4 linked regions of the Rattus norvegicus genome follow. The protein of the gene in region 1 interacts with the protein of each later gene in a pairwise test. Links are inferred from orthologs where the notes say so. Each region holds a gene or a part of one and is shown in the gene's direction. Other genes may lie near its edges. The genes, in order: Rint1, Epc1, Lmo2 and Ribc1.

Evidence for each region.
Region 2: the proteins of Rint1 (region 1) and Epc1 interact in binary tests that used the Homo sapiens proteins (3 or more experiments, as listed by UniProt). The two-hybrid records come from large-scale screens. The link is inferred for Rattus norvegicus from reciprocal best matches to the Homo sapiens genes RINT1 and EPC1.
Region 3: the proteins of Rint1 (region 1) and Lmo2 interact in binary tests that used the Homo sapiens proteins (3 or more experiments, as listed by UniProt). The two-hybrid records come from large-scale screens. The link is inferred for Rattus norvegicus from reciprocal best matches to the Homo sapiens genes RINT1 and LMO2.
Region 4: the proteins of Rint1 (region 1) and Ribc1 interact in binary tests that used the Homo sapiens proteins (3 or more experiments, as listed by UniProt). The two-hybrid records come from large-scale screens. The link is inferred for Rattus norvegicus from reciprocal best matches to the Homo sapiens genes RINT1 and RIBC1.

Annotation. Positions count from the first base shown.
Region 1 is NC_086022.1:12,227,590-12,231,154, reverse strand, and holds part of Rint1 (RAD50-interacting protein 1), read left to right. Parts: coding exon 1-24; intron 25-2,967; coding exon 2,968-3,078; intron 3,079-3,164; coding exon 3,165-3,390; intron 3,391-3,565. UniProt on the Homo sapiens protein: Involved in regulation of membrane traffic between the Golgi and the endoplasmic reticulum (ER); the function is proposed to depend on its association in the NRZ complex which is believed to play a role in SNARE assembly at the ER.
Region 2 is NC_086035.1:59,209,516-59,213,080, reverse strand, and holds part of Epc1 (enhancer of polycomb homolog 1), read left to right. Parts: intron 1-216; coding exon 217-390; intron 391-470; coding exon 471-560; intron 561-636; coding exon 637-785; intron 786-1,618; coding exon 1,619-1,971; intron 1,972-3,565. UniProt on the Homo sapiens protein: Component of the NuA4 histone acetyltransferase (HAT) complex, a multiprotein complex involved in transcriptional activation of select genes principally by acetylation of nucleosomal histones H4 and H2A.
Region 3 is NC_086021.1:110,820,286-110,824,283, forward strand, and holds the start of Lmo2 (rhombotin-2), read left to right. Parts: upstream 1-1,167; 5' UTR 1,168-1,388; coding exon 1,389-1,395; intron 1,396-1,522; coding exon 1,523-1,742; intron 1,743-3,998. UniProt on the Homo sapiens protein: Acts with TAL1/SCL to regulate red blood cell development. Also acts with LDB1 to maintain erythroid precursors in an immature state.
Region 4 is NC_086039.1:24,572,374-24,575,938, reverse strand, and holds part of Ribc1 (RIB43A-like with coiled-coils protein 1), read left to right. Parts: coding exon 1-40; intron 41-1,738; coding exon 1,739-1,820; intron 1,821-2,010; coding exon 2,011-2,352; intron 2,353-3,460; coding exon 3,461-3,565.

The DNA of each region.
Region 1 (3,565 bases):
CGGCAGACCAACGTCATCAGCAAGGTGTGCTTGGCCAGAGTGTGCTTCACTCTCTCCTCCGTGGTTATGTTTGTGAGACAGGGTCTGAGGAGAGCCCCGGCTGAGTCAGACTCCGCTCCCTCTGCATCTGCCTCCCAAGGGCTGGGGTCCCACAGTGTCCATCCTACCCTGAGTGTTCATTAGTAGTGAGTGTTGCCTGTGGACTTTTACATGATTAGCCTCAAGGCCTGTCTGTCTTCACGTTTCTGTTTTCCCTTCTCTGTCGGTTCCTGCCTCCTCGCTGCACTCTGTAGGCGTGACTGGGGCTCAGGTTGACAGGTTGCCAGTATCTGTGCCGTCTTTGGGACGTCATCACGTTGTGTTCGTGTGTGCAGGCTTTACAGCCACCTGGACCTCACTGCACAGACCGCTCCTGCACATAGATAAACAGAAAGAAAGAAGTGAGTTCCACAGGAGAGAGCACAGGTGCCATGGTGACTCAGCTACGGAGGACATATACCATGGCAAGGAGTGACGGAATAAGTCAGTTAAAGGAAGTCGTTACCAACACTTGATCTGAGAGAGCACTTTGTTCTTGATGGTTGCTGCAGCCGAGGCAGTGTATGGAGCTGGGCTCACCAAGTGTTCTGAATTAAGAGCAAGACCACAGCAGATATTTTTCAGGTCATATGAGTGAACTTAGTGGCAGTGGGTCTTCTGTTTTGTTTAGACTGTTGTTGGGACTGCACAGTCATTTAGTCCTCAGTAGTCAATGAGACAGAGCATAAACTAAACATTTAGAAAATGTAAGAAAATTCTGGATTGGATTGGCTCATTTTGAAAGAGTGATCCTAATGAATTTAGTATACTGTCACTGAGACAGTCCTTGGGATTAGATGCTGCCACCCTTGTTTATCCCCAACTGAAAACACTTGGGGATTTGCCAGTCAGTGCTAGGGACTGAAGCCAGGGCTTGCCTGTTCAAGGCAAGTGCTCTATCCCTTAGTTAGAGCCCTAGCTATAAAAAACAGGAAACACACATGCACATGTGTGTGGTATGTGTGTCTGTATATGTGTGTGTGTTGTGTGTGTTGTGAATGTGTGTGTATATGTTGTGTGTGTTTTGTGTGTGTGGTGTGTGTGGTGTGTATGGTATGTATGTGTGTATGTGTTGTGTGTATATGTGTGTGTGGTATGTGTTTGTGTATGTGTGTTGTATGTGGTATGTGTGTATATGTGTGTGTATATATGTGTGTGTTGTATGTGTGTGGTGTGTATGTATATGTGTGTGTTATGTGTGTATATGTAAGTGTGGTGTGTTTGTGTGTGTGTGGTATGTGTGGTGTGTCTGGTGTGCGTGTGTATGCACGTGTGTATGTGTGTGTGTACCCAGAGGTCAATGCCAGATACCCTTTTCAGTCACTCTCTCCCTTATTTTGAGACAAAGTCTCTACTGAACCTGGAGCTCATCGGTTCATCTGTTCATGTTCACTGAGTTTTAAGTTGTTGTCTAGAAAAACTTATATGTGTGCAGAATCCTCTCTAAAGACAAAGTAAAATCTTTATGTGGGGTGAGTGAGTGACATGGCCCAGTGGGGGAAACCACCTCCAAGTTTGAGTGTGATCCCTAGGACCCATGTGGTCACAAGAGAAAAGTAACTCCCAAAGGTGTCATCTGATTGCCACAGTGACACTTGTCCACCCACCCAGACACATCCATTCTAGCATGCATATATGCACAGAGAAAAGTGTAATACTTTGAAATGCTCTGCCTGTTTCCTTTGTACATCACACCCAGTTTACAGCGTAGATGTATTAGTAATTAGGCCACTAGACTCTTTTCCTTACTTTACCTTTTGGAAAGAGGAAGCAGCAGAAAGTCTTGTTTAAAAAGTAGTTGGGGGTGGGGAGGAGTTGGGGATTTAGCTCAGTGTAGAGCACTTGCCTAGCAAGCACAAGGCCCTGGGTTCAGTCCTCAGCTCCAAACAAAAAAAGAAAAGAAAAAAAAAGTGTTTGGGGAAGCAGGTCAGTCTCAACAGAGCGTTTGTCCCGCTCACGTGAAGCCCCATGTTGGTCCCCAGTACCACATACGTCACGTGTGATGCGCATATTGATGTCATGTGTGAAATCCTGGCACTGGGAAAGTAGAGGTGACAAGACCTGAAGCCCGTCACCCTCAGTAACATAGAGATTTTTGAGGCTAGCTTGGGCTACGTGAGATCTATCTCAGAACCTTCTTTTTGGAATGCTATTTCAGAAATATCAGTTGTTAGTAATACCTCATCACGCTAGGCTTAGAGGGCTTTACAAAGTTTGTGTGTAGGTCAGAGCAACATCTGTGGGAGTTAGCGCTCTCCCTCCCCCACGTTGGTTCCAGGGATCAAGCTCAGGTTGGCAGGTTTGCTGGCAGGCGCCTTTACCCCGGGGCCATCCTGCTGGTGTGGCTTGTTTTATCTTGCTCTGGGATGAGGGCGTGTGCTGGGCAGATGCTCCTCTTTTTTTTTTTTTTTGGCTCTTTTTTTCGGAGCTGGGGACCGAACCCAGGGCCTTTCACTTCCTAGGCAAGCCTCTACCACTGAGCTAAATCCCCAGCCCCCCAGATGCTCCTTCTTGCGTGTGTGAGGGACTTTTCCTCAGTATTGTTCTTAAGCCTTCTCTTCCTCTTTTCTGTGATGCTGGGATTCAAACAAGGCTTTTTATAGCCAGGCAAACGTTATACTTCAAAACCACACCTAACCCCAATGTGGCATTTTAAATTACGAGTTTACTGAGTTAGGCCACATTATTAGCATTTGTTGTGGAAGTATACTGGGAAACATTTGATTATGAAGTCTTTTGTGAGTTTGAAGTGCAGGGTAAGAATTGCTTTCTTACATATAGGAGTTTTCAGTTAATTTTTATGTCTGTCCATAACTGTGTGCATTTAATTAGACTTTCCCGTCATCGTAGAGTGAATGCAGAACTAACCCCATTTTCCCTTCCTCTTAGCCTGAATGGTACTTCGCTCAGGTACTTCTGTGGATTGGAAGCCATTCTCACTTTCTGGATGAGAAGATCCAGCCAATACTGGATAAAGTGGGTTCTGCAGTGAACGCAAGGGTAAGAGGCTGAGCCCCGTGCACTCCGGCTTCCTGGAGGCCCCCTGGGCACAGTCCCTCCCTCATGCCTCCTTGCCTCTCTTTCAGCTTGAGTTTTCTCGCGGCCTCGTGATGCTCATCCTTGAGAAGCTGGCGTCTGATATCCCTTGCCTGCTCTATGACGATAGTCTCTTCTGTCATCTGGTAGACGAGGTGCTGTTGTTTGAAAGGGAGCTGCACAGTGTCCATGGCTATCCTAGCACATTTGCCAGCTGCATGCACATTCTGTCGGAGGAAACCTGTTTCCAGAGATGGCTGACTGTGGAGAGAAAGTGTAAGCACTCAGTGACCGTTGAGCTGACTTGAGGCTTTTGGTTTGTTTTGTTGTTTGCTTGCTTGCTTTCTGTTTTGGCCCAAGTTGGCCTCAGACTCATTGAGATCCACCTGCCTTTGCCTCTCAAATGCTAGGATCAAGGGTGTGTCCCACCACTGCCTGGGAATGTCTGGTT
Region 2 (3,565 bases), on another chromosome or scaffold:
TTTAAGCAAATGTTTGTTTTGAACAGAGCAAATGTAGATTATTAGGGGAAACTGAGACTGACCCTCTGAGGGTAGGGGGGCCACCAGAGGGTTGCCTGAGCCTCTTTTAATAGTTCAAGCACTTGGCTCCCCAAGTAATAATTAACTCAAGCTGTTAAGAGGTTGCAGTTGTGGGGTGTGCTTTCGCTGTGTGACCGACTCGTGTCTGTGTTGCAGCAAGATAAGGCTGATCTTATTCGGCCGAAGCGCAAATATGAAAAGAAGCCCAAAGTCTTACCGTCGTCTGCTGCCGCACCCCAGCAGCCAAGTCCTGCTGCACTGCCAGGCTTCAGTGCTAAAGACTTAAACCAGTACGACTTCCCCAGCTCAGATGAAGAGCCTCTGTCACAGGTAAACAGAAGACCAGCTCTCTGCACACAGAAGAGGAACATAGAACCCGCATGTTTGACCTCTCGTTGCTTTATTTCAAGGTTTTGTCTGGCTCTTCAGAAGCTGAGGAAGAGAATGACCCTGATGGCCCTTTCGCTTTCCGTAGGAAAGCAGGCTGTCAGTACTATGCTGTAAGTGTCAGACTTTCTGTAAACAACAAACAGCAGACAGACTGACAAAATACAATAATTTGGATTTTTTTTTTAGCCTCATTTAGACCAAACTGGCAACTGGCCCTGGACTAGCCCTAAAGATGGAGGCCTGGGGGATGTGCGATATAGATATTGCTTAACTACTCTCACCGTACCCCAGAGGTGTCTTGGATTTGCACGAAGACGGGTCGGGCGCGGTGGAAGGTAACGCGCTTCTGCTTTCCTTGCACCAGCATGCTTTTTAGACATTGGAGTCAGAGTTTAAACTGAGGCCCTTCTTGTGAACAGAGTCTAGAAGCTCCAGCTTGCTATGCTTAGCAGAGCTGTCTACATGTTCCCTTTGCACTCCCAACGTCCTCACACACTACACTGCGTAGTCCCTACAGGCCCGTGTGGGTTCTTATCTCCCCAAGCTTCTTAGCACCTGAGTTATCACAGAGTAGAATCCCAAGAAAGGACAAGTATACTTGTGTGTACACACTCAGGATTGGTTCAGGAGACTACAACCAAAGTCGCTGAGTTCTGGGGAAAACCTTACGTTAACTACTGCAGTGACCACTTAACTTTGCTGCTCATGGCCTCAGTTTGTCAGGATGTGGTTCTGGGGTCTGAAATAGAATATTTCATACATGGAGTGGAGGAGAGAAGGAACTGCAAAGCACAGAAAAGTTTTGGTTGAAAGACAATTTGAAAAAAAGAACTTTGTCCAACATTGAGCTTTGAGGCTAAAAGAACCAGAGCCAACAAGATGACTCAGTGGGAAGAAGCGGTTGCCACCAAGGTGACAGCCTGAGTTCTGTCCCCAGGACTCACCTGGTGGAAGGAGAAAAGCAACTCTTGGGAATTGTCCTGTGGCTGCTGCGTGCACGCCGTGCTCTGCTCCGTGTGCTGTGCGCATACAGTGTGAGAGTCAAACGCTGCAGTGATGAACTTGCTCACTTTAAATGTCCAGTGTACTGTTGCTCAGCTTGGGGGAAAGCGTTCGGGAGAGAAAGGAAAGTCTGTGATGTAATCTCTGGTGTCTGCTCCTTGTGCAGGGTCTTGCTGGACAGAGCGCATTCAGACTATGACAGTATGTTTCACCACCTGGATCTGGACATGCTTTCCTCACCACAACCTTCTCCAGTCAATCAGTTTGCCAATACCTCAGAAACCAATACCTCGGACAGACCTTCCTCTAAAGACCTCAGTCAGATACTAGTCGATATCAAATCATGTAGATGGCGGCACTTTAGGCCCCGGACACCATCCCTTCCTGACAGTGACAGTGGTGAGCTCTCCAGTAGAAAGTTACACAGAAGTATAAGTCGAGCAGGACCAGCGCAGCCTGGGGCCCACACGTGCAGCGCCTCCACACAGAGCAGAAGTAGCAGTGGCTCGACACACTGTGGTATGTCCTTTTGTGGTACCCATTGCTATAAGGGTGGGGTCTCCCATCTTGTTGAGGATGTGGTATATTATTCCCGTAGTGAGGTCCTCACGTACTTCTTTGAGTTCTGCTCAGTAGTGCTGTTGCTGTGTGGGTTTGTGTGTACGTGCATCTTTCCTTAACCACAGCCAAAGAGAGGTGGTATGTTTGTCACTATATATTTAATGTTTAACTTGTTATCTTGAGGTAGCCCATGAACCACAAGATTCATTAATTTTCAAGTAATAAAATAAAAGGGACCCCAAGTTGTTATTGGTATGTACTTGAACATCATCTACTGTGATCTGTTTAAATTTAGAGGCCACTAGTCAGTAGTTAGACATAAACTTACATTGGCAGTCGTTCAGAATAAATACCAGAGAAGCTGACTTCTAATAGTTTGTAGATATTTTAAAGATAATCCCTACTTTGTTGTATAGTGTGAATAAAACACTGGGAACAATGCAATGTCCCGTGACTTTCTTTTTTAGAACACTTAGGTAGTCCACATTATCTGAGTTGTATAAATTATAAAAGCTCACTGTCAACATGGCTCAGCCTCACAGCCTGTGCTCAGTCCCCAGACCCACACAGTAGAAGGGAAGGATCCCACTCCTTCAGTCTGTTTCTGGCCTCAGTGCGTGTGCTGTGGCCTGTGTGCATGTACACAGTCAATACATACAATAAGTGAAGAGATATTTTTGAGATTTTTTTGTTGGTGGTAGTTGTTTTGGTGATTATTCTGAAACAGGGTTTCACTGTAGTTCTGGCTGTCCTGGCCACTTTGTAGGCCAGGCTGGCCTTGTACTCGTGGAGATCTGCCTGCTCGACCTCCCGAGTGCAGAGACTAAAGACATACATGTACCACCATGTCTGGCTTATGCTTGAAATGTTTTTAAATCATTTCATTAAAGTTCTTTTAGGATGATTTTAATACAGATTAAGAAGAGGATTGTTTCCCTAATTACCTTAAGTTACAATTAAAGTGTTTTCTACACATAAGAATTTGCTGACATCTTCAGAGGAAATGCTCCATAAACTAATTTACTTGTTAGTTACAAATAAAAGTAGTTCTGTGATCTGACCAAACTTGACAATCAGTTGTCAAAAAAATCTGTAGTTTCTGGGACTTTAGTGATTGTAATTCCACTAGTTTTACTAACCGTTTTTCTGTCCTGCAAGCCAGGCTGACAAGCTGGCTGATTGGAGCCTTAGTTAGCTATGCACGGGTGTGGGGAATTCAAAAGTGGAGACTCCTAATCGGTTCCCCCCAAATATTTTTGGAGATATATGAGGGTTTTTTTGAGATTTTTATGGAGAAAGTAGCCATGTTCTATCAACCACATCCTGTCACTCCTAAAGTGGAACACTATAGACCAGGACAGACCTCCAGATTTCATTTCAGTTTACGTAACATGGTGTGCTGGCGTGACTTACAGAGGCATGTCGGTGCCAGTTGCAAACTTTGCTGTTTTGTTTCTCCAACATCATTAAAAGGTAGACATTAGCAAAAGTTAGCTGAAAAAAGCCTTTCATAATTATGTAACTTTTCTTCTTAATCATTTTTTTTGACAAT
Region 3 (3,998 bases), on another chromosome or scaffold:
GAGGATTTTGCTCTGTACCAGGAACCCAGGATTTCTGTTCTGACTTCAACAATCATCTTCAGGCTATTAAAGCCGTCTTTAAAATGGGACTGAAATGCCTACGTCCTTGATCCAGGCTGTTCTTACTAACGATGGATTCTGAAGGCACTCGGAATTTTCCTCTTCACAAACCTGAAGACTGTCCTCATCATAAGCTAACGGGACTTGAACGATCATTTCTGAACTCAGTTTCAAGGAACTCGAGGCCCGGGAGAACCTAGGTTTTTCTCCCTGCAAAACTAGCTAGCTAGAGTCCTCTTCTTTCCCTTCTGCATTTCTTTGTCCTTCTAGAACTTGCCTTCAAGCCTGAAGGAGAAACCTGTCCTTTTCTTTGCTTTATATAGGGCAAAATAATAGTAAGTAACAACTGTAAGGTTCTTGATTATTGGCAAGGAACTTCCTCCGGTCCAAGTATTGCTGATACTTTGCAGAGAGGGCCAGCCTAACCGCTGGAGTTCGCTCTTTGAAAGATGCTGAGGGAGGGAATTCTGCCGCCAGCAGATGGAGAGGAGACCCGGACAACGTGGTCCCTCCCAGCCACCCTCCCTGCGGGATTAGCTGCCCCCAGCTCTGCTCAGGCGCACCTAGCGCGTGAGGTCCCTGGTCATACAGCTTGCGTCCCCTCTCTGGAGCGCAGTCGCAGCTACGAGCTTGCTGCCAGCAGAGCCGCACTGTCTCAGGCTTCGTAGAGCACCACGACCGTGGTCTTGGGACCTCGAACCCGAGACGAGCGCTCGCTAGCCAGCCACTAGCAACGCTTGCATTTCTTTCCTGCTGGAACCGCCAGGTGGTTACTTTCAGCCTGAAACCAAAGGGAAAGGGCAGAAGGGGAACTCTGAAAAGGACGGTTTAGTGGCAGCGGGCTTCTTGCCCCAGGAGTGGTGCTCAGGGAAGACTCTCGGTCTCTGCCACGGGTCCCTTTAAGAAGCCAAGTCGGGGCTGCCGCCGTCGCCGCTGCTGCTGCTGCCGCCGCTGCTGTTTGGATTCCTAATCCCCAGGAGCCCCGTTTTTTTTTTTTTAAAGGAAGAAAAAAAGGGGGAGGGGGCGGGCAGCTGTCTCTTTAAATGTGATTTCCTTCTATTGTATTTGAATCGTGATCAGGAAAAAGGAAATGAAACCAGAGACAGAGGGAAGCTGAGCGAAAATAGACCTTCGCGAGAGAGGAGGGAGCCCCGGGAGAGCCGCGCGGTCCGCTCCCCGCCCCCAGGCCGCCGCCCCCTCTCTGCCCTCGGCGCCCCGACCCCAGCGAAGGTGCGAGGGGTTCGGGGCGGCCGGGCGGAGCCGGCGACTGCGCGCGATCGGGACCGGGCGGCGGCGGCGGCGGCTGTGGTGACGGCAGCGGGACCGGGATGGAAGGTTAAGTCTTGAGCAGCGGCAGCTGTCGCAGCCGCCGGAGGGAGGCCGGGCTGCTCCCCGGCCCCCTGCCTCGGCCGCCGCGCGCGGGGCAGCTGGGTGATTCGCTCTCTCTCTTTGGCGTTTGAAGGGAGCGCGGTGACTGTCCTTGAGCGTGGAGGGGCGAGCTCGCCGGCCGAGCGACCGAGCAAGAGGAGGCGCAGGAGCGGCGGCGCCCGAGCACCCGAGGGGGTCCGAGTCCAGGCAGCTAGCCAGCCACGCGCCACAAAGGGAGCGCCCCCGCCGCCCGGCACGCCTCCCCCCTCCCCAATGTCCTCGGCCATCGAAAGGAAGAGCCTGGACCCGTCTGAGTAAGTGTGGCGCTTCTCTCCCCGCACCCCACACCGGGTCCCAGGCAAGGCGCGAGGGGCTGACTTCAGGTGCGCGCCCGCAGCATGCCCTTGGTCCCTCGGTGTCGCAGGGGTTCTCTTTCCTCGCGGGTGACTCTGGAGACACCGAGAGGGGCTGGGCGGAACTGGAGGAAGCTGTAAACTGGGATCAACCCCGCGGACCGCTCCGGGCTATCTAGAAAGCTCCCCAAACCTTCACAAGGGCCAGAAAGTTTGCCCAGGAGCAGGCACCCGGAGCTCCGAGGCACAGGTGCAGGGCAGGGAAAGTGGAGGACGAGATTCTGCCTTCTCCCCTTTCGTCCCACCCTCTCCAGATTCCCTTCCTTTTTGTCTATTTGGCTTTGGAAAGAGGGGCATCCCAACCAGAACGTCCCTGGTGTCTCTGACAGTCTACTGCCAGGCCCGGAGTAGAGCAGATAGTCGATGAGGTCCGCCTGTCCATCTGGGGACTGGTTCTGGCCTCCAGAGACTTCTAGAATTGCTAATCCGGAGTTCCTCCGGGTGCATGTTCACCCCTCCCATGAGTCTCCTATTGTGGGCATGTGAACCTCGAAAGTTGGTTCTTTTTTTTTTTTTTTTTTGTTCCAGTGTGTTTTCCTAGGGAACAGAATCTCATCAAACTTTCAGAAGGGCTTGGGGTCAGCGAACCAAGAGTTGTATGAGTATGTACTGTCTTATGCTCTGAGCTTTGCGCTGGTTTGCAAAGAACACCCCCATTCCACAGCCTGTACCCTAGCCCATTCTCTAGATTTAACAAGGGGAGCCAAGAATGAAGGTGTTGGGGGTTTTTTTTGTTTTGTTTTTTGTTGGGTTTTTTTTTTTCATGTCCACACAAATGCCCTTTTAAGAATCATTAGCTGTCTGGTTTTGAGTTTTTATTCCTTTGAAGTCCTCATCTAATCCTTTGAAGGGATTTGTTAACACAAGACCAAAGGAGCTGGTTAATGACTTGTCCATTTGGGCTTTTAAGACGCATTTGTTTTGGTGGGGTTTTTTCCTCCTTTTCTTTTCCTGCTTTAAAAGAATTGTGCTTTCCTGCTGAAGTTTTCCTACTCGCCTCCCCCCCTTCAATTTCAGTCTTGTGTGGTGTTTATTTACCTGGGCTTTACCCTCAGTCAGCAGCATAAAAACCCAGCGTGTTCTCATAAAATACAGGAAGTCCCACGATCCAACGAGAATATAAACATCACTCTTCAGTCTTGAAGGTTAAGACACACAGCTCAGAAAGGAGCTAGGTTTGTTGACATAAAGACCAGCTTCCTTAAAATCTCAGGAAAAACAACAACCCTTTAAAAAAAAGAGTCGGTGTCTGTAGCTTGTTCCCTTTTAAAAATACATTTAAAATTACATCTGAGCCCCGAGTTTTCAGAGATTGGACGAGACATAAGATTACACAGTAAGGGAGTGGGTCTGGCGAACTGGTGTTTACTGCTTTCCTATCAGCACAATTTCACTATGAATCCTATATTAGACATTGAGTCTACAGAGTTTGGTACCTTAAAAAAAAATACTAACTGCATGGATGTGTGTGTGCACCTGAGCGCAGGTGCTCTGGAGGCTAGAGGTGATGAGTCTCCTAGAACAGGAGTCACAGATACTAGCACTCACCTGTTTTGCTTGTGGAGACTCCTGGGTCCTTTGGGAGAACAGAAAACATCCTTAACTGCCAAGCCTTCTCTCCAGCCTGAGGATTGGGTTCTGTAAAGGAAGTTCACTCTGACTAAAGTTTGTGTCTTTTTTGCCCCAGACTAGAAACCTGAAAGGTATCTCACAGCTGTAATAGTGAGCACCCAGTTCATGAGGTCCTCTAGTAGTTCATCCGTCCTACAGAATGTGCCCAGAAAAGGAAGGCTGTAACTGAAGATGGGCAAGCCCTGTGGGAAATGTCTGTGGAACATTTCCCCTCTGTCTGGGAAATTTTTGAGAAATTTTACCAGAAATCAAAGCTAAAGGGACACTCAGGTGTCCTATTTAGGACAGGCTGGTAGAAGGATATCAAATATTAACTTAAGGTAAATCTCATTCAGTCTTTGGCTTGAATTGTTCACCAGAGAGAATGGCATGTCATTAATTATAGAAAGGTAAACTGAGTCAGAGTCTGGTCCTGTCCATATCTGTCCTCAGACCGGCATGTCTCGTTCTCCTGTATCTCACTCTCTTGCCAGCGGCCTCACCGAGTGCTTGCTCGAAGCCAGCTTGGATCTTCACCATCGCATC
Region 4 (3,565 bases), on another chromosome or scaffold:
ACAATGCCGATTCTTCAATGTGCGGAACCGAGTCATGGGGGTGAGTGGGTAATGGGTAACTTTACAAGACTGGGATTATTTGCTCCCTGTTCCTAGAATGGAATGTAGCAGTACATTTTAACTTTTCGGGACTCAAGCATGCCCTAGGACTGGAAAGGCAGGAGCTAGAGAACCAACCTCATATGCCTGGGCAGGGCTTAAGAAGAGAGGCAGAATTGTGAAGAGACAGATGATGGGGTGACAGCTGGCTCTCCTCTGGTCAGTTCTTGGACTATAGCTGGTTCTTGAGAAACAATGTGGAGCCATAAGAGGGTGTAAAGAAAATTCGATACTACATAAACCTAGGGTATTTCTGGAAGGCTAAATGTGACATTGTTATATTTGTTGCTTTTCTTTATTACTGTGGTAAAATACCTGACAAACAGAAGAAAGGGGGGTTTATTTTGGCTCAGTATGAGCATACAGTCTATTATTGGAGGAAAAGAAGAGGAGGTGGCTGGTCAATGTGCACCCACAGTTAGCAAGCAGAGTTGAGCTCTCTTTCTTCTTTTTATTCAGTCCAGGACTAGTCCTGGTATGGTACTGCCCTCAGTTAGGTTTTCCTACTTAAAAAGACATGTCCAGAGGTTTCTCTCCTAAATGATTCTGGATGCTGTCAAGCTGACAGTATTTTATGTAGCTTTTTATTTATTTAGGAGGGGCATGTGGGACCACAATGAATGCATATATGACTTCCTTCCACCATGTGGCTTTTTGGTACCAAACTTAATTGTCAGGCCTGAACTTTACCTATGGAACCAATTCACCAGACCATGTTGTCAATAGTAACCTTCACAGCTTTGAACCAAGCTGATGGATAGGGACTGAAAGGATGTTTATTCTTCACAAACTATCTGCCCTTCCATACTATTTTGAAACATTTTCAGTGAATTATAATGAAAAGGAAAATACTGATAGCTAAGAAACAAATAAACAGTTGCTGAGTGGGAAGGTAAAGAAAGGATCTAGGAAGGACACCATACTTGTGTTCAAAGCCAGGTCTGCTATTATATATGGATGGCTTATGGTACATAACCTATCTTGTCCTCCTCTGTAAAATGAGGCCAAATGAAGCATTGAGCTATCAACTTTGAAAAAAGTCAGAGCGTATTACCTGACCATGAGCAAACTGAAGTTTGAGTAGTCTGACTGAGATTCTGGTTGTAAGAATTTCCTTGGGACCTACCCTGGACCAAACACTACGTTGGACAGTGGGGAATACAATGATAGCTAAGGCCAGCTTCTCCTCACAGAACAGCTTACGGCCTAGTGGAGGAGATACTAGAAAGGCTAATGTCAATACAACATGGCTAGTGGGTCCTAGATTATGAGGGTAGAATCTTCCTGAGCAAGTCTTGGAGGGTAAACTGAAGTGTAGTAAAGAAGAAAGACTGTTCCAAAGGGGAGAAACAGTTGGAGCAAAGGCTGTGGGTTTGAAACAGCTTAGGATGTGCAGAGAACTAGAAGTACAGTTCCTTACACTACTGTGAGAGGAGAACAAAGCGATAAAGGCAGAGAAGCAGCAGCTAGACCACAGAGGTGTTTACAGGCTTCATTCAGGGCTTAGAACTTTATTTACTATGTCCTGAAGAGTTACAGGGTGACTCTGAAGAGGGTAATTCCCAAACAGCATCCTGTAGGGCATTCAATGTACGTTCGAAGATCCTCCTCTAACTTAGCTCCTTTCTTTGAGATGCAGGTGGATGTGGAAGCCCTCAACTACCAGGTGGAGGAACGAAAGTTTCGGGAGGCAATAGAGCGAAGCAAAGATATGGCTTATGGTAAATACTAGGGTGAAACAAAGGTATAAACCAGAAAGAGTGGCTTGAAGTTGGGAGATTCTGCCTCAGAATAGAGCCTGAGGCTCTGAGGGATGATAAAACAAAGCAAATGACCTTGGGAAGGGGCTTGGGAACAGAGGTTGACTGGGCTCTGTTCTGGCACCTTCATGTCTCTTTCAATCGCTCTCAGGTGCCAAGCATGCACACTATGATCTGGTAGCACAGATGCTAGAGAAAGAAGAGGCAGAACGAGCATGTCGGCTGTCCAAGAGAGTGCAGGATTTTCGGGAGCAAAGGCAGCAATTCAAGAATGGACACGAATTCGACTTCTGGGATCCAGACCATGTCCAGGAGTTTCAGGTCCCTTATTATGAGAACGAGGCATACTTTGGCCCAGCAAGCATGCAGTACTTCCTTGGAGAGGACCTGGAGAGGGCCTCACACCTGAGAATGCAGCAGGAACAGTTGAGATACAACCTGGAGAAACAGCTGCAGGAGCAACAGGCAGCCAGAGAAGAGGAAGCACGAGCAGGTAAGTAGCACAGCAGAGAGCTCATCCTGTTTGGGTAGAACACTGTGAGGAGGAACTTTACCCAGAGAGCTGGGGCAGAAAGGTTAGTCTGTGCATGCCCTAACTTCCCTGACTTCTTTCTTGGCACGTCTCTGAGGGAAGCATTTTACAGTTCTACTTACTTCCTGCTTCAGGCAAGTGAATGTTCCTTCTCTAGAATTGTTTTCCTCTCCTCATTTCATGAGACAGGGGCTTGCTATTTATATTTCACCTAGTCTGGGCTGGAACTCAGCAATCCCCCTTCCTCAGCCTCTCAAATACTGGGGTTTCAGGCACTTGCCACCTTGATAGCTCAGTTTCTTCATCTTTAAAATAGGGATTATAATATACATCACATAGAAAAGCAACTATTATTATGATACAGTCTGGCCACATCTCTCTTTTACACTAGGAGAAAACCTTTCCAGGGCAAGGGCCATGTCTTTCTACTCATTTCACCTTCCAGTGTCTCACCCGGCCTAAGAACAAAGAATCCAGTGTGTGGCTTGAAGGGGGAACAATTTAATAGCTTTGCTTATGCTGTGGCCATGACTGGCATGCCATTTTAATATGCTTCTCTACATCTTTATCATTGGCCTTCCCAGGTCATAGTTTGATTATCTATTGGATCTGTCTCTCCTACCAGAGAGGGAAGTTTGTTTGTTTTTTAAAGTGGGAGGTATTAGGACTTTGAACTTGCTATGTAACTAAGGATAACCTTGAAGTTCTGATCTTCCTGCCTCTGTGTTCCAAGAGCTGGAATTACAGGCATACAGCACCCTGGACTAGGCAGGGAGTTCTCTGAGACACGATCTAATTGTGTGGTATCCTTAGAACTCAACAAATAACCTTAAGACTGAGACTTAGTGAAATGACATTATTTAAGGCCACACCACTGAAAGGTGACAGAGCTTAGTTGTCATCCAAGTTGCTATGCTTTGCCCACCCTGACCCCAAAGAGTAGCTCCTTCCTTATCACTGCAGCTTTGACATGCAAATATAAACACACAGAGTATGCTGAAAAAATAATCAATATACGGATGCAGACTAGAATAGGCAAGTACAGTGCCCTGCCTGCATTTCTCTGTAGCTTTGCTCAGTGACCAACTGCGTCTAGCCGCGGACACTCGGGCTGCTGAACTGGCTAGGCTGGAGGAATCCTGCCGCGCAGCTATGAGGACTGCTATGGCCAATG